Regions from separate parts of the Mus musculus genome. Here regions 1, 3 and 4 are each reported to be linked to region 2. The links are microRNA targets in miRTarBase. Many come from high-throughput screens and were not tested one by one. Region 2 holds a microRNA gene; each other region holds the end of a gene's coding sequence.

The links. The annotated mature microRNA mmu-miR-24-3p reads UGGCUCAGUUCAGCAGGAACAG and lies in region 2 at 3,522-3,543, shown strand. An mRNA with a match to its seed (bases 2 to 7 or 8) in the 3' UTR can be bound and repressed. Matches are read on the target gene's strand: a 7mer-m8 pairs with bases 2 to 8, a 7mer-A1 pairs with bases 2 to 7 and ends in A, and an 8mer does both.
Region 1: the mRNA of Tyr is a reported target of mmu-miR-24-3p. Seed matches in the 3' UTR shown: 7mer-A1 at 1,828-1,834 and 8mer at 1,896-1,903.
Region 3: miRTarBase lists Commd7 as a target of mmu-miR-24-3p. Seed matches in the 3' UTR shown: 7mer-A1 at 3,982-3,988.
Region 4: miRTarBase lists Lims1 as a target of mmu-miR-24-3p. Seed matches in the 3' UTR shown: 7mer-A1 at 2,295-2,301.

The regions. Positions count from the first base shown.
Region 1 is chr7:87,422,722-87,429,884 of GRCm38, reverse strand. Tyr (tyrosinase) reads left to right here. Exons shown (of 5, transcript NM_011661.5): 5 at 601-5,114. The coding sequence ends at 836. Among named protein-coding and RNA genes, the nearest start is that of Tyr, 67 kb to the left of the region's middle.
Region 2 is chr13:63,297,730-63,304,892 of GRCm38, forward strand. It overlaps Mir24-1 (microRNA 24-1), which reads left to right and starts at 3,479; the gene lies at 3,479-3,546. Aopep (aminopeptidase O) reads left to right here. Exons shown (of 16, transcript NM_001289926.1): 16 at 983-5,148. The coding sequence ends at 1,123. It overlaps Mir23b (microRNA 23b), which reads left to right and starts at 2,755; the gene lies at 2,755-2,828. It overlaps Mir27b (microRNA 27b), which reads left to right and starts at 2,983; the gene lies at 2,983-3,055. It also overlaps Mir3074-1 and a transcript of Fancc not described here.
Region 3 is chr2:153,613,352-153,620,351 of GRCm38, forward strand. It overlaps Commd7 (COMM domain containing 7), which reads right to left. Exons shown (of 9, transcript NM_133850.2): 9 at 3,579-6,161. The coding sequence ends at 6,085. Among named protein-coding and RNA genes, the nearest start is that of Commd7, 16 kb to the right of the region's middle.
Region 4 is chr10:58,420,261-58,427,423 of GRCm38, forward strand. Lims1 (LIM and senescent cell antigen-like domains 1) reads left to right here. Exons shown (of 11, transcript NM_001193303.1): 11 at 1,194-4,431. The coding sequence ends at 1,195. Among named protein-coding and RNA genes, the nearest start is that of Ranbp2, 23 kb to the right of the region's middle.

The DNA.
Region 1 (7,163 bases), not on the chromosome of region 2:
GGGCAGCTTGTAACTACTTGTAGCTTTAGCTCCGGGGGTACATTCACCCTCTTTTTTACCTTGGTGCATTCTGCATGTACATGCACATGTCAATGTACACACACACACACACACACACACACACACACACACACACACGCACAGATCTCTGCAAGAACAGAGAGTGTACAAATGTCGTAGTGTTCTTGAGAATGCTCTGAGACTACAAAGTTTCTTCTAGCAGTATAGTCAGTGTTACTCAAATAATTTAAATTATCAACAGATCATCAACAGTTAATAATATAACTATGTTTCATAGATCAGCAGTATAATTACATAATCATCAAAAGGAATTGTAACAATAGTACCTAACAATATTGCACATCAAGGGTTATATTCAAGTTTCAAAAGATCCCAAAAGCAGAGAATTATTTTCTTTTCTTCCTAGGGAGGAAAGGGTGCTTGAGAAGGAAGAGGTTAATTTTCCCCCAAGATTTTCTTTTTATTAAGCAAAACAGCTGGCATTACAACCCAAGCCTCTTACTCCTAAGTAGCATGCTAAAATGCTGCTGATGGTGCTGGTGATATCTGTGAAAACAGCTTGATCTCTTTCTATTTCAGATCCAGGCTTTTACAGAAATTATATTGAGCCTTACTTGGAACAAGCCAGTCGTATCTGGCCATGGCTTCTTGGGGCAGCACTGGTGGGAGCTGTTATTGCTGCAGCTCTCTCTGGGCTTAGCAGTAGGCTATGCCTTCAGAAGAAGAAGAAGAAGAAGCAACCCCAGGAGGAAAGGCAGCCACTCCTCATGGACAAAGACGACTACCACAGCTTGCTGTATCAGAGCCATCTGTGAACATCCTAGGAAACAGAGTGGGACTGAAAGGTTTTACCTCACTCGACCTATTTGTTGGTGTTTCTACAAATTTAAACTAGTATAAAACATAGACCATAGCTGTTTGGCTTTTTTTCAGACCCATGTTTTTTCCTAAGTCCTAGTTTCTAAGAAATGACTGGGATTTGCTAAAATATATATATATATATAAATAATAACTTACTAATAGCTAAATAAAATTTCCTCTTACAACTAATTGAGCTGGTTTTTATGAATGTGTCTTAATTATTTAAACTTGAGGCACATTTTTGTTTTCCTTACTTCATTGTGAATTTCCAAGAAAAATATTCTCTCTCTCTCTCTCTCTCGTGTGTTTGTGTGTATGTGTGTGTTAACTGATTCAAACAATTTTGAAAATCTTGGATTGATAGAAATGATTCATTAATTTATGAAATTATTTCATTAATGATTAGGAAAGACGAATAATTACTAAATTAGTAACAGAGGAGAACATCTGCCAGCTTTTATTAATTGTCATTTAAGTTACCTTATCTACCTTCTGTGACTGGTGGAAAAATATCAGGCAAGAGATGGGAATGCTCTGCCTAATAGGATAGTGGCTCCTGGAAGGAGTGGGTTATTACTAGAGATTATTACCTGAAGTTTACCATAGCCAGAAAATTAATCAAAACAGATGACTCAGTAACATCTGAAGCTTCAAGTCGGCTTGACTGCAATCTGAAATCATCAAGCCCAAGAGCCAAAGGAATGGGAACAGCGATGGGAAACTATCTGAATCAGATTCTAGTGTGATAGTGTCAGGGGCACATGGGTCATCTTTGAGACCTTCACACCTGTTGAGTCACCAAAATTTGCTGTGAATGTAAATTTTTACTGTAAATTAATTTTTTCTTTTCTTTTTAAAAAGATTTATTTATTATTATACATAAGTACACTGTAGCTGTCTTCAGACACACCAGAAGAGGGTGTCAGATCTCATTACAGATGGTTGTGAGCCACCATGTGGTTGCTGGGATTTGAACTCAGGACCTCTGGAAGAACAGTCAGTGCTCTTACCCGCTGAGCCATCTCGCCAGCCCAGTAAATTTTTACTTTAGTGAAAGTAAAATTTAAGTTTTAGTTTTTAGTTTAGTAAAATTTTAGGAAGCAAATTTTTAGTTTTCTAAACTAATTTTTTTTTCTAGTACTGGACATCAACCCAGTGCCTTGTATATGCAATGCAAGCATTTTCTTGTACTCTGCTACCTAGCATGTATATATAAATCTACCCAACAAATGTTCATTACAGCTGACAAGGGTCTTTATAAACTCAGTGTTTCCCTTTATCACAATACAATTCCCTCCTTTGCCACTTCATGTCATCATAGAATATTGTTTTTTTCTCTAGCGGTTCAAGGTATGTATTTGTATAGCAGTCACACCTTTGATAAAAGTTACCATCTCTTTGATTATATATTCTCATTATGGTAACAAAATTATATTATGACTATTTCAATATATCTGAAAGTTTCATTAAATTCTCATTAACTTTGTATATTTCAGTCTTGCTTATTGTGAAGCTTTTATAAATTGCTTCACTTTTTTCTGAAATTGTCCTGTTGCTACATCATTCTGTTAAGAAATAAATAAGTGGCAATATTTTCCCCCTTTCTTCTTCCTCTAGGCTTTTAAAATTAATTTTAGTATTCATATATTTTTATCAAATCAAACATGCAATTCTCTATCTGTAGAGATTAACCTGTGATCGATACAAGTCATTTTAACTAGTGTCCTTATGAGGCTGACAGCAAGCATAAATCATTGATGTTCAGCATTTATATAAGCTTTCATTTATGAGTAGAGTTTGTCAGTTTATACAATAGAATATAAATTATAAACAAGCTATTAATACCACAAAAGCCTTAACATTATTTAGCTGTTGCAAACTACATATGAACAACTTTAGTAATTTTCATGTTCTATTTAAGTTTTATATGCTTCAAATTTATTATTTGGGGCCTCTTATTGTTTTTTTATATGGCAGCATTCTAGGATGGAGTGTGAAGAGATTTCTTAGCCTCAATCCCCATCTGATGCCCTATGGGCAGTGATGGCTTCTGTTTGAGGGACACTCAGTTTTCTATTCGAGTCCTGGTAGAGTTATCATGTTCTGGTAGAAGGATTCAAGCCCAGTAGTATAGGTACACCATGCCTTATAATGACTGAGCTATTACATTTAAAAAAGAATAAAAGCATGAAGCTGAGGAGGCAGTGAGGTGGGGGTGGATCTGCGGAGAGTCACATGGAGAAGTGGAGGGCAGATTTACATTATATCAAATTTTCAAAAAATAATAAAATATTTATAAAATGTAATTGAACGAACAATATGTGGGTTGGAATCAAAACTCATGTAGAACTTTCTTCAGTCACTAGATCTGATTGATTGTGAATTGATTATTAGCCATTTAAACTAGTAGACTCGAGACTTACCTTAATTATTTAGTTGCCAAATTTGGGATCACAATTGAATATGTCTCCTCAAAAAATATCTTAAAAATTCATAGTAATCACTTTCACTTTCCTTTTGCCTATTTTAAAATATATGCATTCTCTTTAATTAAACAGCTCTGCATCCTGTTTGTCCCATAGGTAAATAAAATGTTGAGTGTGAATATTTAGTGAAATATAGTTCTTAATAAATTTGCTTTACTAAAATTATTTTTACTTTCTTAGTCTTTTTTTTTTTTAGAAAATTAAAAGTAAATGTATAGAAGTAAAAAGTTTGTTTTCTAAATCAGTGTTCTATATGTTGCATAAACTGGTTCCTACTGCTGGATTTTGTTGGCTTTCCAGTCTCAGAGCAGTGTCTGGATTACAGGTAGATATTGCTGTACTAGGATGAAAGTAGACTGTTTTAATGAGAGATACTTTCAATTTCACAGGAAAGGTGATTTCTATTATGTTAGGCCAATAATCCTAACTTTAATGGCATTTCATAATGGGTGCTGAGTTAACTGTCTGATGCTGAAATTATACTAAAAATAATGTGGTGATCATGGAACCTCAAAATAAAACAAAATAAACTAAAAATTTATCACCTTTTAAAAATCTAGTATTATCTTTTCATTAACTAGAAAACAAATGTTGAAATGTTTAAAAAGAAATATTTAGCAATATACACAATAATTGATTAATTTCAGTTTAATTTTTAAAATATTTTATTCTTTCTTAATGACAACTACTGTATGATCTGGCTCATAAGTAGTAGCGGTAGCAGCTTTTGCAGAGCATATACCCCCTAAAATCTGTGTCAATATACTATTTGAGTTCCCTGAACATCTGTTTATTACAGTGCTACTCACAACAACTAGGTTGTGGAGACACCCCAGATGTCTATCCACAGACAAATGGATAGAGAAACCATGGCATGTATACATGGTGGAGGTTTGTTCAGCCATAAAGAAGAATTAAATTATGTCATTTGCAAGAAAACTAATGTATTTATAATTCATGATGATGAATGCAATAGGTCACACTAAAAATCACGTTTTTCTATATTATATATACATATAAGTGTATACATGCACATTTTCAGGAGGAACTATTTGTTTTTTTTTTAACGCATTCTAGAATGTAGCAGGAAAGACAATATTGTGGGTAGTTTGGGGTTGCATCAGTATAAGCAAAGAAAAAGTTATACAAGTATGAAAATTTTATAATGAGTACATTATAAAATTTGTAATGTGTACAATAAATATATACCAATATGCTGTATAATAAATATATACCAATGATTAAAGAAAAAATCCAAGTAGTTATGTATTTTACTTATAAAGACAAAATGAAATCAGCATTAACTTATTTCACAGATATTTCCTAGAATTTGGGGGTATAAAGATGATTAAGACACATAAACCATATGCTACATTGAAAAATGCAAGTGGGGTAATAGGAAAGTAGATAACTACTTATAAAATTATGATGGAAATAATCATTCTAGAGTAATATTCTAAAACACAATTTAAAAAGTAAGGTCATAAAATAGAAAAATAATTACCCATCTCAATTCTAAGACATAATTTTTTAGATTAGATTAATCTCTTCTTTAACAATTATAATAGAACCTTTTCATCATTTATATACTGGATGCATGTCTAAGCACTACTCTATATAATTTCTGCTTGTCATATGAACACTGAGTATGGTTATATTACTTTATTTTAATGATGAAGAAGCTTGAATAACAAAGATATTTTAAGAAGTCAAAAACCCTATTAAATTGTATGTATCACAATTTTTAATTTATGCCTCCATGACTTTAATTCTTATTTCTAATGCAAAGCCATATTGTTTCCATGACTTTTACACATATCTTTGATTACTTTACTATAATTATCACCATTACTAATAACACTGGGAATTTGTTTTATATGACAAAAATCTGTCATGTTTGCACATATATCATCATTCCTTGGATAGTGGAAGTTATTGAGCTGAGGTTATGCTCAGTGGATAAGAACACTTGCTGTGCAAGCAAAAAGGCCCTAATTCAGACTCCAACATCTATATAAAAAATATGGCCATGGTAATGCGCTCACCTATAACCTCAGTTCTGTGCAGGAAGTGTGACAGAGACAAAAATAAAATCACTCGATTTTCTGTCTACCTGCCTAGCTCCAGCTTCAGTGAGAAGCTCTGTCTCCAGTGAATAGGTAGAAATTGGTAAAGAAGGACACTGGGGATTCTTCCTTTATATATATATATATATGTATGTATATATATATGTATGTGTATATATACATATATATATATGTATATATATACATGTACACGTACACATACAGAGACAGACAGAAATAAAGACAGCAGAAATAGAGACAGAGATGGAGAAAATCAAAGTGCAGATGCAAATAGTTTAATTGTACAAATTTTTGAAGTTCAAATTAGTGGAAACAGATCTTTACACTAGCTAGTATGATTTTAAATTCACAGTTTGTCTCAGCATGTAAAAATAACTACATTGTACAGTAAGTCCTGGAATTCTATAGTTCCATAGGGACACAAAGTCAAGAAAAATAATACAGATAGAAAGAGATAATTAAAAATAGAAAGACATCATCCTGCTTCATCTTGACAGTAGTATGAAAGTTCCTAGATAAGCACCCACAGTGAAATAATACCTATTATGTCAACTGTTCTAAAAGTGTTCTTGGTGGGATGATTCTTATGTGTAGCAGTGAATAATCTACCTTGATCTCCCTTCTGGGAGTGGGGTCAGAACGTGTGATCACACTTCTTGTCACCTGCCAGAATTTTCTGGATTTGCGAATGAAAGACAGAGAGACAGAGAGAGACAGAGAGACAGACAGGCAGGCAGACAGACAGACAGACACACACACAATTAGAACACACACACACCATACACCACAACACACACACACACACATACACAGACTCGGGTCAGCTTAATTTTAATATGCCTTGACTAGTTCAGTGGCCAGGCATTTGCAAACCTCCCTTCAGCTAGCATACACTTCCATCCGTACTCTTCAGTGAACACTTTCTAAATCTATATTTTATCTTTGTTACCCTAGACCGAAGATGGTGAGTGGCCTCTGGGGTCATTTCCCTGTCTTAATGATGAACTCTCTGCTTCCCTGTCATCATGGGGTATGGGGTGGTCAGTACTAAGCCCCCTCATAGTGGAATTCCTTTGTCTTCTCCTTGCTCAGAAATCCCAAAAGTCCTGCCTCTTTCACTCTGACCAGCTATTGGGTTTGGCTCTTTATTGACTGTGGGGAGCGGGTGTGGCGGCAGTCCCAAAGGCGCCAGGGACTGCAGCTAAGTCATATGACTTGCACCTGACTTCCTCATATAAGACACAAACATCTCGAGTGCTGCGCAGGTGTACCAGGATACAGGTGAATCCAATTTGGTGGAGATTTGCCCCTGCTGCCCTGATTAGCTGAAGCCTCGTGACTGGCGAGGGGGCGTGGCCTGCGGTGCATGGATGAGAGAGAGTATAAAAGGAGTGAGAGGCCCAGGGTTCGGGGGAGATATAAACAAGAAGAATCAGGACTGAATAAACTGCTGTTAGAAGGACTGGTGGTCGCGTCGTTCTTGCTGGTCGAGAGCGGGCGCGACAATTGACTAATCAATAACCAACTGGGGACAGGGACCCTCAGTATCTGAACACAGAATCTCATGTGATTTTGGGACATGCATTAAATTCTAAGACAAAGCTTTAGAACCAATCACTAACATTTCTGCATTGGTCACGAGGAGTCATCACAGTGTAATATAAAATAGATGACAGAATGCATTTTGTTTATCTTGCCTATAGCCAGT
Region 2 (7,163 bases):
CAAAGGATGTGACTTTTTTACAGCAGAAATGTCACATTTGCACAGTGGAGTAAGAATTGTTTGAGAAAGCAGACAGGAACAGAGCTAAGAGCAGCTCACTGGCATAGCCATGCTGTCTGCTGTACAGGGACCTCCACGCCTCAGCCCCTGCAGGAAAGCTCTTTGGAAGCCGACACTGAGTTTTTATCCTATGCTGCCTTTGAAACACTTGAATTTGAAGCAGAATGTAACCCTTGAGAAACTCCATAGAACAAGAAAGCGGGCAGAACTTGCAGAATGTAATTGGCTGCTTTTTTAATGTTGGCTCAGTGAGAATTCAAGCCTTTGTAGCATTGTTTTCAAAGCAGAAGAGCCAAGAGTCTGACATTTGGTGGCTGGGTTAGGCCAAAGTGACAGCATCTGCCCTGCCTGCACTGCTGGCCATGTGGTCTCTGTGGCCTGTTAGGTGATGGACTTTGTAAGCAAGCTCATGCCAGCTACCCTTTAGGATGCACTGGCCTGACAGACAAGGTTTTCCATGGTGACCATTTTGAGAGCTCTCTGCCTCTGCCCAGTGTATTCCTGACAATAGCCATCTTGGGATAGCTTGCTACTCGGGCACCGGAGTCGGTTGACAGAATCAATAGAATTCTGTATTTCTGTTGTTTTTTGAGACAAGGTGTCATTGTGTGACTCTGTGTGGCTTAGAACTTGCTATGTAGACCAGGCTGGCCTTGAATTCACAAAGATCGTCCTATTCTTCCTCCCAGTGCTGAGATTAAAGGCCTGTGCTACCATGTTCAGCTTCCATAGAGTGTTGATAAGGACAATGGAGACAGAGTAGAAGGTGCAAGCTTCAGTTGGTCACCTGCACGGCAGCAGGCTCTCTCTCTGTCCTTTGTGCTTTTAGACCAGCTTGTGTAAAGCAATACAAACAAGTCCCCATAAACATGTGCAGCCTCTTACCCCTTTCCCATTCTTCTCTGGCCTTCACGGTCTGCAGGCCATGGGCATATACCTGTATGGGGAGCTGATGGTGAGTGAGGACGCCAGGCTGCAGCAGCTAGCCCACAGGTGCTTTGAGCTGGTGAAGGAACACATGGACAGAGCATCGGCCCAGGTGGTGACTGAAATGCTGTTCTAAAGAGGTAATTCTCTTTTCTTTCTTCTAACCATCCATGTCAATTGGTAAGCCACATGATGAGCCACAGCACCAGAGGGCTGCCAAACGGTCTTGGGGAGGAAGCAGCAAGGTGGGTCCTCAGGAACAGGAAGAAGGCTCAGGATCTCTGGAGCACCTCACCTGCTGGAAGCATGGGTGTGAAGCAGGTACAGCTGAAGGAGCAACAGATCTGGCACTGCTTTAGCCACCCTGGATTTTGCACAGGTCCACAGGCTCCAGGGTCAAGGTCAACACAGCGGTCCATGGCCTCATTGCTCCAGGCTTCAGCATGCAGGCATCTCTCCTAGAGGCTGTGTAAACCTGAGACTCCTTGGCCTCTGGTTCTCTGACCTGTAGAGTAGGCAGCAGGTCTTCTCTGCCCCTCCATCCAAGTGACACTTGCGTCCTAAAGGCAAGTCTGTTTCCATCTCGTGCTGGAACAGGATTTACGCTGGCTCCCAGAGTCCTTGGCTGTGGTGTAACTTGCCTCCTCTGTAGCCAGCTTGTGGACCAGTAATGCAGTTCAGCCACAGGGCGTGGAGTTCTGAGACAGGTGTGGGCTAGTGCGTCTCTTTCATAGTCGCCAGTCATCATCTCTACATCATCCCAGGACATTATCGCTTGCCATGGTGGTACATATGATGTTTACTTTTGTATATGTTTGAAATTTTACATCAATCACTGTGTTACTCTGTTGTTCTCTATGATTACCAATTAATGAATATTTAGAATTGTGTTGCTAATCTTAACCCATTGTCAGACATTAAATTTACATTTTCACATTTCACTTTTATAAAACCCACTTCTGTGTAATGTTTATTTTTCTGAAGAACTACACTGATGAAGGGAAAACATGTTACTATGTATGACCATGTTGTTGCAGAAGAGCTGGGGACCGCCACAGTCAAGCAGGGGAGATAGTGGGCTGGAGTAAGCAGGTACAGCCTGCTAAGCCTGCACACTACAAGCTAGGACGGTGGCCTGTGTGGATAGACAGAGTCGGTCGGGGCGCCTCTTCACTGCCTCCTGCAGACATTTCTCTAGAAACTTGTAAGCTGAGGGATTGTTGGTATGTGGTGTGTGAAGGTCACACAGTAAAGCCACTGTTCCCTTTTTAGGTCCCTAGGCCTTCACTTAGGAAAGCCATAGTCACATAGTGGTCCTAGTGACTCTTCTAAGAGTATTTTTGCCCCCTGAGTGAGCAAATCCTCAACTTGCTAGGTCCCCTATGAGCTCTGTGCTATGCCTCAGCTTATCCAACCAAATGCTTGGTCACAGGCAAGCCAGAGAGATGCTCCCTCCCTACACACCACACCTGCTGTCTGAGGGGCCCAGAGACATCCCAACCCATTCAGTCTGCAATTGGAGAACAGGGTGTGTCCCAGGGTTAAAGGCCACATACTCAGAGCAAGGATGGTCCCTAAGGTATTGGTCTCATAGCTGATAAGTGTGTCCTTTGTCTCCCAGTCCCCTATGCTCCTCTATACAGTGCAGCCAGCGCGCTGAAGGACAGCAGGCTGCACTGCTAGCGTGGTGGGCTCAGAGGCGGTTTGGAGGACACTCAGCACATGTGGATGGGAGTGGTTGGGCATGGTGCTGCCCTCACCTGCTCTGGCTGCTTGGGTTCCTGGCATGCTGATTTGTGACTTGAGATTAAAATCACATTGCCAGGGATTACCACGCAACCATGACCTTGGCTGCTCCTGCAGAACCGTGGCTACTTTCTCTCTGCAGTTTGGAGAACAGAGGCGCCTTGTGGCTCTTTGGAAACAAAAGAAGCCAACAGCCTTCGAAGATGCTCACCAGCCCTTTAATTATGGCCGGCGATGACCTCTCTAACAAGGTGCAGAGCTTAGCTGATTGGTGAACAGTGATTGGTTTCCGCTTTGTTCACAGTGGCTAAGTTCTGCACCTGAAGAGAAGGTGAGATGGGGACAGTTAACTTGCAGCTGCCAGGCAGAGGCCACTGCCTGGTGGTCACTCCAGAGGAGGAGAGACCAGCCTGCCTCAAGGCTGTGTTGTCAAGAGTGCAAACAGCGTGCTGACCACCCTTAAGTGTGTCTACAGAAAATACAGTTCTACTGCTAATTAGTTCACTGTAATGTCAAGTGTATTGGGAGTCACAGAAAACTAAACCCAGGTGCATCAAGGAAACTGAGCCAACCTTGTCTCAGCTGATGCCACACGTGATGGGTGGGGGTGTGGTTCTTTGTCCCTGCTGGGCGTGGTGAACTCTTTCTTGTATTTGCAGTCCAGGTCTCCATGTCTCCACAGTCGCTGGCAAGATGATGCCCAGGGCACGCCAGGAGGCACTGCCCAGCTGTGATTGGACCCGCCCTCCGGTGCCTACTGAGCTGATATCAGTTCTCATTTCACACACTGGCTCAGTTCAGCAGGAACAGGAGTCGAGCCCTTGAGCAAAAAGCCTACCCATCTGTAAGTGCCTGAGGCAGGCCTCCCACGGAGAAGAAGATGAAGGGCCTGAGTGTCTGGTACCAGACCCAACAGCAGTGGTATCCCTCTGTATGTGCTCCCGAGGTGGGGATTTGTAGAGTGCAGAGCTAACCTTGGAAAGTTTGCATTCCCTAGAAGCAGGTAGGGCAGGCGCTGAGCATTTGCCACGTGTTGGGGCAGAGCACACCATGTCACCGCTGCCTTGAGCAGTGAGAATGCCTGTCTGAAGGGCCTTGTCTGTAGAGCCTTTCTGAACCTCTCTGGGCTTCACAGCCCTGCATGGCCTGTGCCGTGACTGTGCACCCCAGACCCAGGATTGTGAGGTGTGGCTTCAGTGTTGCCCCTGTCCTCCCATGAAAAGTTCCCTCTCAAGTGGAGGTCAGAGGCTGGGAGGACTCCTGTTGGAATGGCTGTGGTGACTGGGTAATAAATTTTATTGCTGTTTCCTCCACAGGACAGATCACAGTGAGATTCTCATATACCTTCTCCTAGCCCTGGTGGGGCCAGGACTGCACTGACCCTGGACATCAAAGGGAGGATTATGTGGCTGCTAAGGCCATCAGCCCACAGCAGTGGTTGGTCCATCTTGGGCTTCCAGAGACTGGGCTCCCGTGGCATATATAAAAGGCGGAGCCTCATAAACTGTTGCACCTGGCAGCTGCCTTTGTTCCCAGTCCTAGAGAGACTGAGTCTACACACTGGAATTGAGCTGTGACTTTAAGGCAGTCATTCAATGAAGGACACCCTCCCCTAGGCAGATGGAGAGCCGGTTGCCTGCTTCCTGTGATTGCAAAAACTAGCTGCCATGCTCTGAGACTGCAGAATCATGTGACACCTCCTGTGGCTGGTCCCCAAGGATTCTGCAAAGCCCTTTTGATGTGTTCAGTCAACAGAGCATTCCTGTTTTTGAAAATGCAGGAAAGCCTAAAATGTCTTAATAAAGTACCAGATTTGCTAGTGTTCCAGTTTGCTTCTGAATTTGATGCTCCTTAAAAGCAAAGAAGAACGTGTGTCAGAACAGGCACTTTCCACACACTTCCTACCTCCAGGTAATGTTAATTCTAAAAAGGTTGGAAGTAAAGGGAAATTAGTGTGGCTTGGGACTCTGCTCTCTTCCAAATGTGGAGTTTCAGCCAGCCTGGTACTAGCGGAGTCTCAGAACAAGCTCTAAGCTCTTTCAGTCACTGTCTAGAGAACGGTGCTTGAGACTGAGCCATCAGTGCAGTCACATGAGCCCAGCCAAGGCAGAGCGGTGGACAGAGGAACCAGAAGGAGCATCCCACTGGCTGGCCAGGCTTCTGCACCCAGACCTGCTGGGTGACAAAGGCTCTAGGACAGACTGAGAGGAGCGTCCGCACAGAACCATTGGTTTTCAGAGCCTGGGCTGTAGCAGTGACTGCATTTGGATGGTTGCAGGGGACTTGCAAATGGTTATCTGCTTTGTATACCACAATGGTACAAGTATCAAAGTGTGTTAATTCTACTTAATGTTACCCTGATTTCTGTGAAGACTTGAAATAAATGGCTGAGTCTATGCCTTCCTGCTCTCAGAAGCACTCTGGCCTTGCTTAGAGGTGGACTAAGAACCACACACCCTGTAAGGCCCCTCTGAGAACCTCAGTGGCCCATACCTCCTCTGAACTGGAGAGAGCAGCCAAGCACTGGTTTAGTCTGGTTTTGTTCTTTGTTCTTAGGAACCACTAAAGCAAAACAAAGCTGTCGCCTAAGGTGGGTTTTGTTCAGGGATCAAGTCCCTTGTCCCCATGGGTCACTGAGCCCTGTGCCTGGCTGTGTCTGGCTTGGGTTCTTGCCAATGGGTTTCAGGTAAGTGGAGATCTCACTGGAACCAGATGCCCATTTCACAGCTTTGGTGAAGGATCTGTGGTAGAGCTGTCCTTTGCCACCTCTGGCTGGGTGCAGAGCAAGCCTATCCTCCCCTCTCCTCTAGTCCCCCACCCCAACAAGTTAGGCAGCAGCTCCTGCCACCCATAGCTGCACCAGAGGCCCATGAGGCTGTGGAAGCAGGCTTCCCTCATCTGGCTGAGACCTCTGGAGTCAAGAAAGTGCAGTCTCCATTCTTCCGTGAGCCACCTGACTTCACAGGACACAGAACATTGCAAACGTTAACTTGTCAAATAGGATGCGAAGCAGGGTCTGAGGGCGGAAGAATGGATGTCTAGGGAGGCTTGACCTCCTCCTCTGAGCTGTCTCACCCAGGGAGGAGTTTGCTCTATAGCATATGGTTCAGGTGATGAGTGAACTGTTGGCGGAGGAAGGATGTGGATCATCACCCAGGCTCCTGCTCCAAACCACAAGTGGGCAGAGCAAGAAGCTGGATCCCTGGGTCAGTGTTTGCTGTAGACCACTCTGTAGTGCTTGGTCTTCAGAGCTTTGGTGTCCAAGCCTTAGGCAGGGGCTTGGAACCCCTCTAAGGAACTCTCCCTCCCACCACTCAGATGTGAGACTGAGCCTGTGTTGAAAGCCTGGAAGCCTGAACCTGAGTCTGCTCCTCTGTCCCTGGAGAGACTGAGACTGTCCTTGGTGGTCAGGCACACTTGTTGCCAGCACTATTTCCATGCCGTTTTCTAGCCTCACTTCATTCCTGGAGGAAGCTGAAGGGTGAGAGAAACCCAATGGGAGCAAAGTGCTCTACCACCAGGCCCATGCCTCCAGTAGGTAGAGGGGCCGGGACAGGAGGATCCGTGTGAGATAACTGCCAAGAGGTGAGTGGGATAGCAGAAACACCAGCCTCTTAACCCTGCCACTGAATACTGTCATCGTCATTGCTAAGCAGATGTCCATCACTTGAGAACAACAGGCCAGGGCTGGGCCAGCCTGTTCTCACTGATCCCACCAGAAATGGCCTCCTTCCAACCAAGACAGCCTAGAGTTACTCCATCTCTTCTCCAGAGGAGACACACCCCTCCGTGTTATCTGGGATGCTTCCGACAAGGATTAGAGCAGGCCTCAACCGGAGTGAGGCCAGGGCTACAGGAAGGGGGTGCATCTAGATCATCTGATGTTGACCCCTGGGCCATGGTTCCCTGCACAGGAGGAAACATCAGTGCCCCCACTGTGGGCTATCCTTCTGCATAGATCCTGAACCCACTGTTTTGTCCCTCTACATAGATCCTGAACCTGGCCTAGGAAGGGAGCCATCCACACTCGGATTTGTAGAAGAGAGTTGAACCCCAGGAAGGGGCAGAGGTTGGCTGGCTGGGAGCTCACCACCTTGTTTGTGAGCCTTTGGACAGAAGCCAAGGGAGAGGTACTGGGAATTCTGGCTGGACCCAGGCAGGAAGAAGGGAAGGGTGGGGTTGAGAAAGTCCCAGAAAGGACTCTGGGCGCTCTGACTCAGCTATTCCAATAGTACTGGAGGATTTTAAAGCATTTATGTATTTATTTATTCAAACGAATTTCACATCAAAAGAATGAAATAATTGATACTATAGCAAGGTATTCTTGCTTGTGGTGAGCAGAAATGTCATAGAATGTCCCCAGGGTAGAAACCAGAAATGGCAGATATCCCAAAGTAAGCAGTCCTTACCAAACGCAGAGGGTTTTTCAG
Region 3 (7,000 bases), not on the chromosome of region 2:
CTCAAAGGGACACGCCAGCAGGCTGAGTCTGGGGTTGCTGCTCCCAGACAAAGCTGACAGAATTGAGCCTGGCCAGTGTGAAGGGAAGAATGGCAGGGCACTGCCTCCTTAGCCCTACCGGGCAACCTAGGGCACTCTATATATACACTTTGCTACTGTGTATGAGTAGCAAAAAGTTATGGTTCCTCTTCTCCTGGACTAACCTTTCTTTTTTTTTCTTTTTTCTCTTATTTGGTTTTTCGAGAAAGGGTTTCTTTGTATAGTCTTGGCTGTCCTGGAACTCACTCTGTAGACCAGGCTGGCCTCGAACTCAGAAATCCACCTGCCTCTGCCTCCCGAGTGCTGGGATTAAAGCCGTGTGCCACCATGCCCGGCTTCTTTTTTTCTTTTTAGTGGTTGGCCTGACCATTAGTTACCATCTTAATGAACAGTATATAGAGAGGAGGGGGGAAAGACTTTGCAGCCAAAGCAGAGGACAGAATTCTTATTCAGAGCAAGAGTAAATCCGTGCACAATGAAGTGGGAACAGCAGGAAGGGCTGCTGGGATGCCCAGTGTTGTGTCAGAATCCGAGAGGAGCAGTCTCGAGACCCTCATCAATGTCTACAGGGAGTAGAGTATACGTGGAACAAAATTTCAACACAGCCAAGGGACTAAAGGACGCCTTTAATCCCAGCACTCTCGAGGCAGAGGCAGGTGGATCTCTGAGTGTAAGGCCAGCCTGGTCTACAGAGTGAGTTCCTGGACAGCCAGAGAAACCCTGTCTTGAAAAACAAAACAACAACAACAAAAAAAGACAAGGAAAAGAAAAGAAGAAAGAAAAGGGAAGGGAAGGGAGAGAAGAGGAGAGGAGAGGGGAGGGGAGGGGAGGGGAGGGGAGGGGAGGGGAGGGGAGGGGAGGGGAGGGGAGGGGAGGGGAGGGGAGGGGAGGGGAGGGGAGACGAAATGAGAAAGCAAGCAGAGCTGGGCAAGCCAGGAAGCAGTTCGCCTCCACAGCCTCTGCATCAGCTCCTGCCTCCAGGTTCCTGCCCTGCTTGAGTTCCTACCCTAACTTTTTTACCTCCTGAACAATGACCTTGAAATGTGCTTTTGGTCAGGGTGCTCCATCACAGCACAGCAACCTTCTGAGACAGCTGACACATATGTCAGAGCACTGCATGGACGGCTGATACTTGTGGAGGCCAGAACCGGGTGTGGTGGTGCACGCCTTTAATCTCAGCACTCGGGAGGCAGAGGCAGGCGGATTTCTGAATTTGAGGCCAGCCTGCTCGACAAAGTGAGTTCCAGGACAGCCAGGGCTATACAAAGAAACCCTGTCTCAAAAAAACCAAAAAAAAAAAAAAAAGAAGCTGTCATGTAGGTGCTGGTAACCAAACTCAGATCCTTTGAAAGAGCAGCAAGTGCTCTTAACCACTGAGCTAGTGTTCCAATCATCATCCTCATCTTCTTCTTCCTTCCCTTCCTCTTACTCTTCTTCCTTCTCCTTCTTCTTCATTTATTATTATATCTAAGTACACTGTAGTTGTCTTCAGATACCTCAGAAGAGGGCATCAGATCTCATTACGGACAGTTGTGAGCCACCATGTAGTTACTGGGATTTGAACTCAGGACCTTCAGAAGAGCAGTCAGTGCTCTTAACCACTGAGCTACCTCTCCAGTCCCAAGAACCAACTTCTACAAAGGTGTCTTTTGATCTCCGCATGTGTCTACACACAAACCCACAATAAGCAAGTGTCGGAGAAAACAGAAGCTGGAGAGATGGCTCAGCAGGTAAAGAGTATTTACTGGTCTTAGAGAGGACCGCAGGGCAGCATCCCATGACTACTGGTCAGTGACCTGAGTTTCCCTTGCTGTGAAATGAGTGGGCTTTGATTTTGTATGCATGTGCAAGTATTCCAGGATGGCCTTGAACTTGCACCAATCTTCCTGTCCTAGCGTCCCAAGTGCCAGGATTGCAGGTGTGTGCCACTACACCTGCCTTAATAGAGTGGCCCTGGCTTTAACAGTCTATGAAGTGGCCTGGCTCTCGCTATGCATGTAGACCAGGCTTTCCTGCTGCCTCTGCCTTCTGAGTGCTGAGATTTAAGGCACCACTGCGTCCTTGGTGAATTCTTACATTAGATTCTCAAGGTCCCCTGAGGTCTCATGAGCACACCTGGACCCTGCCCAAGGGAACTGACTTGTTGTCCTTGGAACTTCTAATGGTGACCTTGATGATGGTGGGAACAAAGATTCAAACATCAAGTTTCAGAGCATCAGGGCTTCACAGAAAGATTATGGAAAAGAACAAAGAGACAGTCAAGTGTAGCACTGAACATCCACCAGGATGGCTGGTATTTAACTCAGTTGGTTAAATACCATTCTGGGTGGTTTTGGTAAGGGTGTTTTTGAGATGGAATTAAATTTAAATGAGGCGAATTGGAGGACAGCAGACTCTGTGCTGTGAGTAGCCTCATCTAATCAGCTTACGGTATTAATATGAAAAAAATATAAAGGCTTGGTGGCGCACACCTTTAATCCCAGCACTCGGGAGGCAGAGGCAGACGGATTTCTGAATTCAAGGACAGCCTGGTCTACAGAGTGAGTTCCAGGACAGCCAGAGCTATACAAAGAAACACTGTCTCGAAAAACCAAAAAAAAAAAAAAAAAAAAAAAAAAAAAGAAAAGAAAAACCTGACCTCCCCTGGAGCAAGAAGGAATTTGTCAAGAGTGAACCTCAGAAATGGGACTACAGCTCTCTCTGGGTGTCTCTGTCATCTACCCTAAGACTTCTCAGACCTCAGTAATCCTGACAGCAAATCCTTTAAGATAAAACAGCTCTGCTTGGCAAGAGAGCAAAAACCTGTAATCTCAGCCTTTGAGAGGTGGAGGCAGGAGGATTTAAGAGTTCTAGGCCACCGGGCATGGTGGCGCATGCCTTTGATCCCAGCACTCGGGAGGCAGAGGCAGGCGGATTTCTGAGTTCGAGGCCAGCCTGGTCTACAGAGTGAGTTCCAGGACAGCCAGGGCTATACAGAGAAACCCTGTCTCGAAAAACCAAAAAAAAAAAAAAAGTTCTAGACTGTCTCAAAATGGCCCAAAATGAAAGAAAACAACTCAAACACACACACACACACACACACACACACACACACACACACACGCATGCACACACGCACACATAGTGACATGTATGTACACCCTGCTGGTTCTGTTCTCTAGAGAACCCTGATGAATACTGGCAGTAACCAAAGTAACAAATAACATTATAATGCATGAACACATTAAACTGCTTTACAGCCAGAAAGGGATGGAGAATCTTTATGCACTGAATGGGGAAAAAAACAAAACCCTTCAATGTAAATAAAAAGTCTGGGTGTTTTTTGTTGTTGTTTTGTTTGTTTTTGAGACAGGGTGTCTCTGCATAGCCCTGGCTGTCTTGAGACTCACTATGTAGACCAGGTTGGCCTCAAACTCAGATACATCTGCCTGCCTCTACCTCACAAGTGCTGAGATTAAAGACGTGCACCACCAAGGTAGGCTTAGTGAAAATATTTGTAATATGCAATTACAATTAAACAAACAAACAAACCCATAAAAAATGGTGGTGAAGATCTTTAATCTTCAAATTTCAGAGCATCCAGGGTGTTACAAAAAGACCTTGTATCAAACCAGCAGGAAACTGGTCCGATCAATCACTGGGGGAAGCAAAGGCTGAGGCGGCTCTTGCTTTTGATAAAGAGAGATCTCCATGTGAACTGGAAAAAACAAGGTGCAGGTTGGTGTTTATACACGCTGCTGTCTGTGTGAGATAGTACACACAGAAGATATGCACATAGATTCAAATGCAAGAAATAGCTCCAGAATACAGAATGAACTAGCAGATCTCCTCCAGTGAATAGCTAGAAAAAGGTGGGAAGGGGGGCTGGTGAGATGGTTCAGCAGGTAGGAGCACTGACTGCTCTTCCAAAGGTTCTGAGTTCAAATCCCAGCAACTACATGGTGGCTCACAACCATCCATAATGAGATCTGACGCCCTCTTCTGTGTGTCTGAAAACAGCTACAGTGTACTTATGTATAATAATAAATAAATCTTTAAAAAAAAAAAAGGTGGGAAGGGGTCCTCACGTCTACTCAGACCTATCCTGCTGCGGACGGCTGGATGGAAGGAAGAGTGCACATCCTGAAGGTTGTCTTGAATCCACAAGGCCCTAAACATGACTCAGCCAACTCCACATAAATAAATGTGAGAACAACAAAACTTTTATGGGCTGGGAACACAGCTGTGTTTTGCTTAACATGCAGGAAAGCCCTGTATTTGGTCCCTTGTAAAGAGTAGGCGTGGAGTCCATGCCTGTAATCCCAGCACTCATTTGTTGGAGGGCAAGGTAGGATTGTCATGAGTTTGAGGACAGCCCTGGGTATACAGTGAGCACCAAGCCATCCAGAAATGCCTTAACTACATTCTTTTTCAAACAACAAGTTACCATTCTCTTTTTGGTGAAAGCCCCTAGTTCTCTTATGAGATTAGCTATGGTCCAAAGAGAGAATTTTAACGGAATATTTAAGCAATCAGGCTAGAGATTTATTATCTTTAATTATGAGCATTTGCGCAGGTATCCATGGAGGCCAGAGGCATTAAATTCCCTGAAGCTGGACTTACAGAGGGTTGTAAGCTATTATAGGTGTACCATGAAAACCAAATCTAAAATTAAGATATTTATATTAATTTGATGTCTTTACTTAGTAGGCATGCTTGGGTGTGCACGGGTGTGTACAGGTTAGACTACACCTGTGGGGATCAGTGGTCTCCTTCCACCAAGTGGATCCTGGGAGTTGAACTCGGGCATCGGGGTAGGTGTATTTACCTGCTAAGTCATCTCACTGGCCCTGGTTTTATTCTTTTGAGACAAGGGGCCACATAACCCACGCCAGGTTTTATGCATGTTAGGCAAACACTTTCCCAACTGAGCTATGCCACACCCTGTGGCCTTTTATGAGCCACCATGTGGTTGCTGGGATTTGAACTCGGGACCTTCAGAAGAGCAGTCGGGTGCTCTTACCCACTGAGCCATCTCACCAGCCCCCCTGTGGCCTTTTAAAGAAGATTTATTTCATTTGCATTATTGAATGAATGTGTGTCAGAGTGTATATGTGTATGTGTATACTCATGGCATGTGTATGCCTGCTCTTGGATAAGAAGATGTGAGGTTGGAGTTACAGGCTGTTGTGAGCTTCCAGAAGTGGATGCTGTGAACAGAGCAACCAGGGACTCCCCAAAGAGCAGGAAGCACTCTTAACCACAGAGCCGTCAGTCTCGCCCCCATGGCTGGCTTGGTTTGAGACAGGCTCTCACTTTGCTGCTCTGGCTAACCTCTAGCTTATGGTGATCTTCCCGTCTCTGTCTCCGCAGGGCCAAGGTTGTAGGTATATGCCGCTACACCCAGGTCGGCTGACTCTTAAACCATGGAGAAAGACATTTTGTGGATTCAGAGCTTTTCTTTAGAAACTGTTTTTCTTTTTAATTTACCACTTAACCAAAAGGTGGTTGGTTTTCTGGAACCAAACAATGTAAGATGGCCTCGAAAGGCCTGCCTCCTTATAACACAAAAGCCAAAGAGACAAACACAGAAATCGTCTGGCCTCAGTTCTTTCCAGAGAAGACTAAGCACAGGCTTTTACACAGACGACTCGGCAGACAGTGGCTGGCAATGCCCTTCCCCCTCCAAACAGTGTGACACGTGTGACACCACTCCTGACACACTGTCCACACCACCCGCCCTTCCTCAGCCACAAGCACGTACCCAACCATCTGAATGAAGGAACTGAGCCGTTTGTGAACTGTTGGATGGGAGGTGACAAGACTGCCTCCCAGAGAAAGGACACAGTCCCAGATGCAGTAGCTCTCGGAGCATCTAGGTGTAAAGTCACCCAGGAGCCGGAGGTGGTGGCTCCCAGTGGGGCTTGCAGAAGAATCAGGCAGCACTCCTCAAGCGCTGAGACTCTTGGTTTTAGAAGCTCTTTGTCCGCGGCCTCTCAAGGCAGCTGGGAGCCTGGAGTAGGCTGACACTAGGGAAGAGGCAGGGGCAAGGGAACGGGAACAGGGTCAGCTGAGGCACTCCATGCTCGCTCGGACTCTCTCCATCTCGTGCAGGAAGCTGTAGAACTGGGGCAAGGTTAGTTCTGGGGAGAGAAAAGTCAGTTTGAGGTGAGTGTTTCCAATGCCACAGAAGTACCAGGAAAATCCATTTCTACCCGCAGCCATCGTTTGTTTATTCATTTGATAGGGAGCAGATCTAGGGCCTTAAGTATCCAGGGCTCCATCTCCAGGCTGACATCTATACTCGCTGGTAATCTTAGCAGCCTTTTCTTCCTTCTTGTGGTGCTGGGAAGCAAACCCAGGCCTATAGCAAGGGCTGCATTGAGCTACATGCAGCTAAGAGGCTCCTGATGTATATATAACCTATCAGAATAAGGAACCTACAGCCTTGACTTCAAGGGTCTCAGTTCCAAAAACACTGAAGTGTGTATATAACAGTGTCACACAGAGGCATGGAAGGTTTCAAAGGAATTCAGGGATGTCCACAAGAGTTTCTTGCCTCCAAGGGCTGGAGAGATGGCTCAGCGGTTAAGAACACTGACTGTTCTTCCAGAGGTTCCCAGCAACCACATAGCACGCACAACCATCTGTAATGGGATCAGATATCCTCTTCTGGTGTGACTGAAGACTGCTACAACAGTGTACTCATATACATAAAATAAATCCTAGCAATCACATGGTGGCTCACAACCATCTGTAATGGGATGTGATGCCCTTGTCTGGTGTGTGAAACAGCTACAATGTGCTCACATACATAAAATAAATAAATACATCTTAAAAACCAGTGTCTTGCCTCCAATCTGCTCCCACTATTCACCCCTTAGCCCCTTCCACTCGGGCTTTCCAACCTCCCAATAGCCTAGCAACAGCCCTGCTCTGAGAGGGAAGGCAGTGGAGGCCACTCTAGAGCCTGGTGATAACC
Region 4 (7,163 bases), not on the chromosome of region 2:
TTATTCTACAAATGCTTTCTAAGTATAACTTCACAGCAAATGAACAGGTTATAAATAACGTACAGAGCTTGGAATTCAGCAGTACTAAGCTCCTGCAATTAGCTTTTCTGAGTACATTACAGGTGGAGACCACCTAAGAGCTGTTTTCTCCAGAACTGTTTATAAGTGAATTGATACTATGTGTTCTTCTAGCTTTAAGAATGGAATCATGTTCTCTATTGAACTACCACTTAAGGAACACTTAAGGGCTGTCCCATTACCTTAGTGTTCAAGAATGATAACCAGCTTTTTGTCCCAATAGCTAAAAATAACCTACTATGATTTAAGCTCTTTTTTTAAAAAATAATTTCAGGTAATTTTTTTAAATTAGGAGACAAAAGGAAAATCATTTCTACAGGGAAAGATGAAACCTTATAGTTGCCTAATTAAAAATACTAAATACATGATAAGATCCTTTTACCTTCAAAAATTACATCACTCACATTATAAAAACCATTTCTTTGTGGGGTGTGGTGGTTTTAATCACAGCACTCAGGAGGCAGAGGCAAGAGTATCTCTGTTAGTTTGAGGCAGCCTGGTCTACAAAGCGAGTTCAGAACAGCCAGATCTATACAGAGAAACCCTTCTCCCCCCAAAACAAAACAAACAAACAAAAAAACCCCCCAGTTTTTCTTTGCTTTAAATAAATATATTGGAATAAGTTTGTTGGTGACAAGCATGGTGGTTCACACTTACAATCCGAGCACTGGGTAGACTGGGAAAGGAAAATCCCCATGAGTTCTAGCCAACTAGGCTCTAGAGTGAAACTGTCTCAACAAACTAGGGGGTAAAAGGCACTGAGAAGAGGAAAGCGCTGCCTGATGCTTTAAAGTTTGATTGACTTTATTTGGGATGAAGAGAAGGCCCAGTGCTTAAAACATCACATATTCTAAATGTAGGGGTACAGAACCATTGTATAAGCATATTTTCAACTGATACCAGTCACTCTTGACATTTATCATAATAAGAATTGACATTAGAATTACAGTTCTTTACTGACATGTACATAGAGATTTTATATACTATGTTACATTGCGTCTTCATTTATGTCTTTTCATGAATTTATGTCACTTTATCATGTTTGTGTATATATTGTGCATGTGTGTGCTGAATATATTTCCACTAATTTCTTTTTTATATATAATTCCCTTTAGGAATAAATTTGTGGAATTTGACATGAAGCCAGTCTGTAAGAAGTGCTACGAGAAATTTCCTTTGGAGCTGAAGAAAAGACTTAAGAAACTATCTGAGACCTTAGGAAGGAAATAACTTTTGGTGTCTTTTTTCTCTCTCTTCTAATCAATGTTACTTAACCTGATCTACCCTTGCTTAAAACTATGTCAGAGCATTAGAATGGTTTTCTTCATTTCCCTTTTCTCATTTAAAAACGAAAGAAAATGTTTATTTCTATGTAAAACACAGATGAAATCAGGACTTTCATTTCTTTAGCCATATTAGTCTGTAGGCATTAAAAGTATATAACCAAAAACAAAAACAAACAAAAAAAAAAGGTTAAAGGGTAGTTTTAATTAAGCCATCCAAAATATAAATTTAACTTCAGAGTTAAACACCCTGCTCTATGGACCAACCAAAGCACTTGCTGCCAGCCTAGTACTAAGTTGAATCCTTAAGAGAGTATCTGAGACAGTGTCCACATGGGTCATGTGGAGCAAGAACTTACTCCCACAAGTTGTTCTCTAACCTCCACAGATGGCCATGGTGCATATGCGCCAACACACAGTTAATAAACATAATAGACAACCACTGTTATAAAGAGTCAGCTTTCACGGGACTCACATAAGCTTTGCTTCCCTGATCGCATAAGAAAATCATTTCCCATTCATATACTGGGAACTGTATGGGAAGATAAGTGCCCAAACAGTTCCTATGTTGTCATGTGCTTATCCAGTTAGCATTGTAAAAGGAACATGCATATTACTAAGAAGCAAAAACATTTCAGGATGACTGATTTCTTTTTTTATTAAATCACTAAGCTTAGTTTTCTATTTTGTTCTCCTTATAAATTTTTCCTTCATAAAATTACTTAACATACTTGTAACTACTAATGCATCTTTTACATTTTTAAGCAAAACAAAACAAAAATTTGCCAGTTATCTGGAAAATATTGCATACATTGTGATGTTGGGGAAATGAAGCATTTTAAAACTATATTACACATAAAATGCATAGTATTCAAATGGGACATGAAATGCACTATAATGCAGCTTCGAATGTATGGCTTTCAAAAGTGAGCGTGAGCCAGGTGTGGTGGCACTAGGCTTCAATCCCAGCTCTCTGCAGGCAGATCTCTGTGAGTCCTAGGCCACCCAGGGCTGCATATTAAAACCTTGTTTCAGAAAGAATGACTGTATCTCGTATTATCTTTGTGCTAATATCTATACTTCATACATAATCTAACTTGCCTTGCCTTAGAAAACTGCATCCTATATCAGGAATTCTAGATATTTCTTATAATATCAAAATGAGTATTTTGATTGAGATTCATAAATTTAGAATCATTCACCACTGATACATACTTTAAAAATTCTTTTCTCAGGAAGCCAGTGAAAGTTAATTCCTGTCCTCTTATTAGAACTATGCTGATATACTAAAACATTTTAATGAAGGCTTTTTTATTTCAAATGTCATAACTGGGTTTTGTTTACTATAAAGCAGTAAAGCAGTATAAATGATACCTTTAGACTGAAAGAGGGTGGTAAGAGTATCAACTCTAAGGAAAAATTGGGGAGTTCTACTTTATAAAACTGTTTATCCTGAAATGTCTGGGCCATTCTGTTTGTATGAACTCAATATGCAAGAGTATGAACATTTTTTAAATTTTTCTGCTGCTAACATGTTACCTTCTTTTTCAGTTGCCAAGATATATTTTGCAAATACTGCTGAATATAATGACTCACATTGTAGTCTCAGCATTTGGGAGGCTGAGGCAGAAAGATTACCAGGAGTTGGAGACAAATCCTAGGTTACAGTGTGAGATACTATCCCCCAAAACATCCCCACAAACAAAAACACTAGTGTATTGTTTTGCCGTAAAGAATATCTCTGGGGCCTAGGAAAACGTTCAGTCAGTAATGGACTCACACCAGCCTTAGGACCTGAGTTTAAACTTGGAGGGAGCAGATCCCTGGATTTTACGAGGTAGCCAAACTCAGCCTAACTAGTGAGCCCCAGATCCAAGGGGGAAATCCTGTATTCCAAAAAGCAAGGTGGATGCCTCCTGAGGAAGGGCCGCCTAGACTGATCCCTAGCCTCCACATCCACACACACACATGCACACATTCAGAAATATGGATGTGTACACACAAAAAGGATATCTCAGGATGCTGTTACTCTGCCATTAAAAGTTTATAATCATGAATTTTTAAAATACTTGATTATGCACATTATGGAATACATTTCTGTTTCCAGATAACTAACTTGTAACCAATCATTTTATTTCCTAATATCCTTTTCATATTAAGAGAATTATATGTGACTAAAAATATACATGATTTGTGTTTGTTAAGCATTTTAAATTTGTCTTTGCTTTTGACAATAAGAACCAAAATTTCTTCCGTGTGCCTTTGTCAGCTAAGAATGACTAGCAGTGGCTACCTTAGAAGTATTTATGAACTATTGTACATGCGTTTAGGCAGATAGAACTTGTAGTCTAGCGTCTTGATGTAACTTACATACCTCACTGGAAGTATGGAGCAGAAAAGCACTCATTCCCGTGCTTTCCCCATCCCTTTCGAGGTGTGTGGCCTTGCCTGACTGCCTTTGCTTACGTGACATCGCTTAAGCCAGAGTCCCCACTGCTGTCTTTGCTCACTTCTCTTCAGACAGGAATATTCCAGTAAGTTTGATCTCATAATTATGTGGTAATTCATCTAGAGATGGTGCTTTTCACTGTGGGGTAAATCATTAGAGCCCTTAGTGTGGAAGATGGAGGTCTAAATGGGGCCAAGACAGAGACTTCATCTACTTCCTATTAGTTGTGGGGTTTCACTGGCTGCTGGCATTTGTCAGTGAACATCTGTTTGAATTTCTGAGAACAATCTGAAATAATTCATTGTGCTTATGAAATTTCTAAGTGCCCTTTTTGTCCTTATCCTAATATAACATGGAAAATGGATACACAAAAAAGATTTTTTGTGTCATGTTCAAAGCCTTATTATAACACTTTGCCTGAAATAGGTCATTTTGCCTCATCCATTTGCCAAATTAGCCAATTTCAAGTTAGGGAAACTTTGATGTAGGCTGACAATATCCTTGTATTTTATTTTAGATTGTAAGCTTAATGGCAAGAAATTATATCAATAATTGTGCTTTTTATGTAGCAACCATTGCTGTGTACTTTTGGTGCTTAATAAATATTCATAATTATTCATAGTGTGTTACATATCATTTAGTTTGACCTATCTTTGAGAATTCAAATATTCATTTAGTATAATATGTTAGAAACATCATATATGTAAGTAAAAGAAAATGGCCTGGGTATGGTATACAAGCCAAGTTTTAGCACCTTTTGTATTAACTTTTCCTGGGGCAACACAGATAAATGTCTACTCATCCCAGACAGAGAACCATTCTACCCACATAGTTTGCTGATGTGGTGATTTCACTGAACTAATTTCCAGCAGTTTGGGTGAAGGCTACTTACAAGAATTTGGATAACTTTAGGACAGCTGCATCATAGAAAAGCTGCATCCTTGCAGCACTGGGACAACCTCCAAAGCTGCGTAAATGGAGCCCCACCCTTCAGTTACCTTTCCTCCTACATATTCTAGTGCCTCTCACAACACGCCCCTCTGGAGCAGAATCACTTACATCTGGGCTCAGGGCGTGCAGGAGGGAACAAGTAGCTCCTATCTCAAATGAGGTCTAGTGGCCTCCCCCACACACCTCCTATAAGGAAACTGCTTTGCTCAGGGTCTTGCAAGTAATCAGCAGCTATGATTACAATGGTACTAACTGTCTTACTCCAAAGACAACATCCCACAATGTCACAGAAATTGTTGGATGTCAGAATAAACAACATTTTCCAGTTCTAGGGACCCATTCCAGACCTGGCCTTGTGTTTGGTAGATATACCAATTCATTGCACACTGACCAAATGCTTGACAAGAAGCAATTTAAAGGATGAAGAGTCTCTTGTGATGAGGAAGTGTGTGTCAGCTTGCTCACATCTGGGCTGATCAAGAAGTAGAGGGAAGCCTTGGCTGCAATCATTTCTGGGCTATAACCCTTAAGACCCACCCACTGGAGCCTCATGGAGATAGTCCATATTCCAACCCTAACATCCAGTAAGCGCTCTGCCACTGAGTGGAATTCCAGCTCTCACTTGGATTTCCCTCTCTTCACAGGACAGCTGGGACTTTCCTTTGTGTACCCTTGAAATAACCACATGAGTAGATTACAGACCACCATGAATATAAGGCCACTTCAGAGTGCTTTACTAAAGCCTGTGACAGAGCAGGCTCCTGCCATAAAGTACACTTACTCTGAAGTGAAGCAGGGTAGGGTTTACAAAGTCAAGGTTCACAATCACATCACACCAGAGTGGCACGGGGCAAGAACAAGAGTTTTCATTTCAGTCGATTAAACCCTTTCCTTGTATGTTGTAAAGCAATGGGCCTTCCAAAGCTGTCGCTGTGGCTACATAAGAATCTTCTCAGCAGGATGGGCTCAGCCAATGGGAAGAGCTGAGTGTAGACTGTGGTCTGAGGGAAAGGCAACACATTGACCCATTATAAAAGGGGTAGCATTGGGTCCTCAGGTACGAAGGCTGTTCGTTTGAAAGAGTTTAATAACCAGTTAATTAAACAGTCTGTAAAAGGGACAAGAGGACTGGGTAGGCCCATGATTCCAATCAAACTAGCCATGGAATTGAGTTTTAGGAAAGTATATCATAAGGACCAACAGTTATTTGGAGCCATAGTCTGGTATGGCTAACCAAAGACATCAGACAATTTTCTATTATAAACATCATTTTTAGAAGCAGTAGAACTAGTAAAAACAAATTTCATTTGTCAGAGTCCAGTCCTAGGTAAGGATCGTGTCTGTACTGGCTAGTTTTGTGTCAACTTGACACAGGCTAGAGTTATCACAGAGAAAGTTGAGGAAATGCCTCCATGAGATCCAACTGTAAGGCATTTTCTCAATTAGTGATCAAGGGGGAAAGACCCCTTGTGGGTGGGACTATCTCTGGGCTGGTAGTCTTGGGTTCTATAAGAGAGCAGGCTGAGCAAGCCAGGGTAAGCAAGCCAGTAAAGAACATCCCTCCATGGCCTCTGCATCAGCTCCTGCTTCCTGACCTGCTTGAGTTCCAGTCCTGACTTTCTTTGGTGATGAACAGCAGTATGAAAGTGTAAGCTGAATAAACCCTTTCCTCCCCAACTTGCTTCTTGGTCATGATGTTTGTGCAGGAATAGAAACCCTGACTAAGACAGTGGCTAACCCTATAGGAAGCATTATGGCTAATATTACTCTGAGTCCAAAAGGAAGAACATACGTAGTAATTCCTATCTCTCAGTGTCTACTTTGACTTCCAGGTTTGTCGTGGGAGTAGAGCTGAAGACCTAGTCGCTGTCATTTCTGGAAGGTGACTTGGAGAGATCTCTTCTACAGATAGTGTTTTCTTGCCCTGGATGTTTTGGATCCACAAGGTGACACTTGTGACTAGTGTTTGAATGGGCATCTGTGGTTAAGCCTGCTGTGCTGACTGGCCCTGTATCAAAGTCGGGTGATCAGTTACCTCTTAGCCCTGGAGTTAGCTTTTGCTAAGAGGAATATTGAATGTCAGGATAGAAGGCATAGCCAAGTGAACTAGCATGCAGGTCCCATACCAGCTGTCAGGCTTAGGCACAAGGTTCCTCTATTCACAGCACCCACATATGACATTTGACACATGACATCTGCAAATAGACATTTGTGAGACATTGAAAACAGAGTAATTACTATTTGCCTGAGAGTAGGTGCAAACTCTAAGATCTCCACTGAATGAGAGAATCCTTCCTCCTGCCATGTGAAACGTGGGAAATAATTTGTCTTTTATAGAGATGGGGAGATTTTCCTGGTCTGTCTTACACGGCTAGAGACTGTGGAGCAGCAGACTCAGGCAA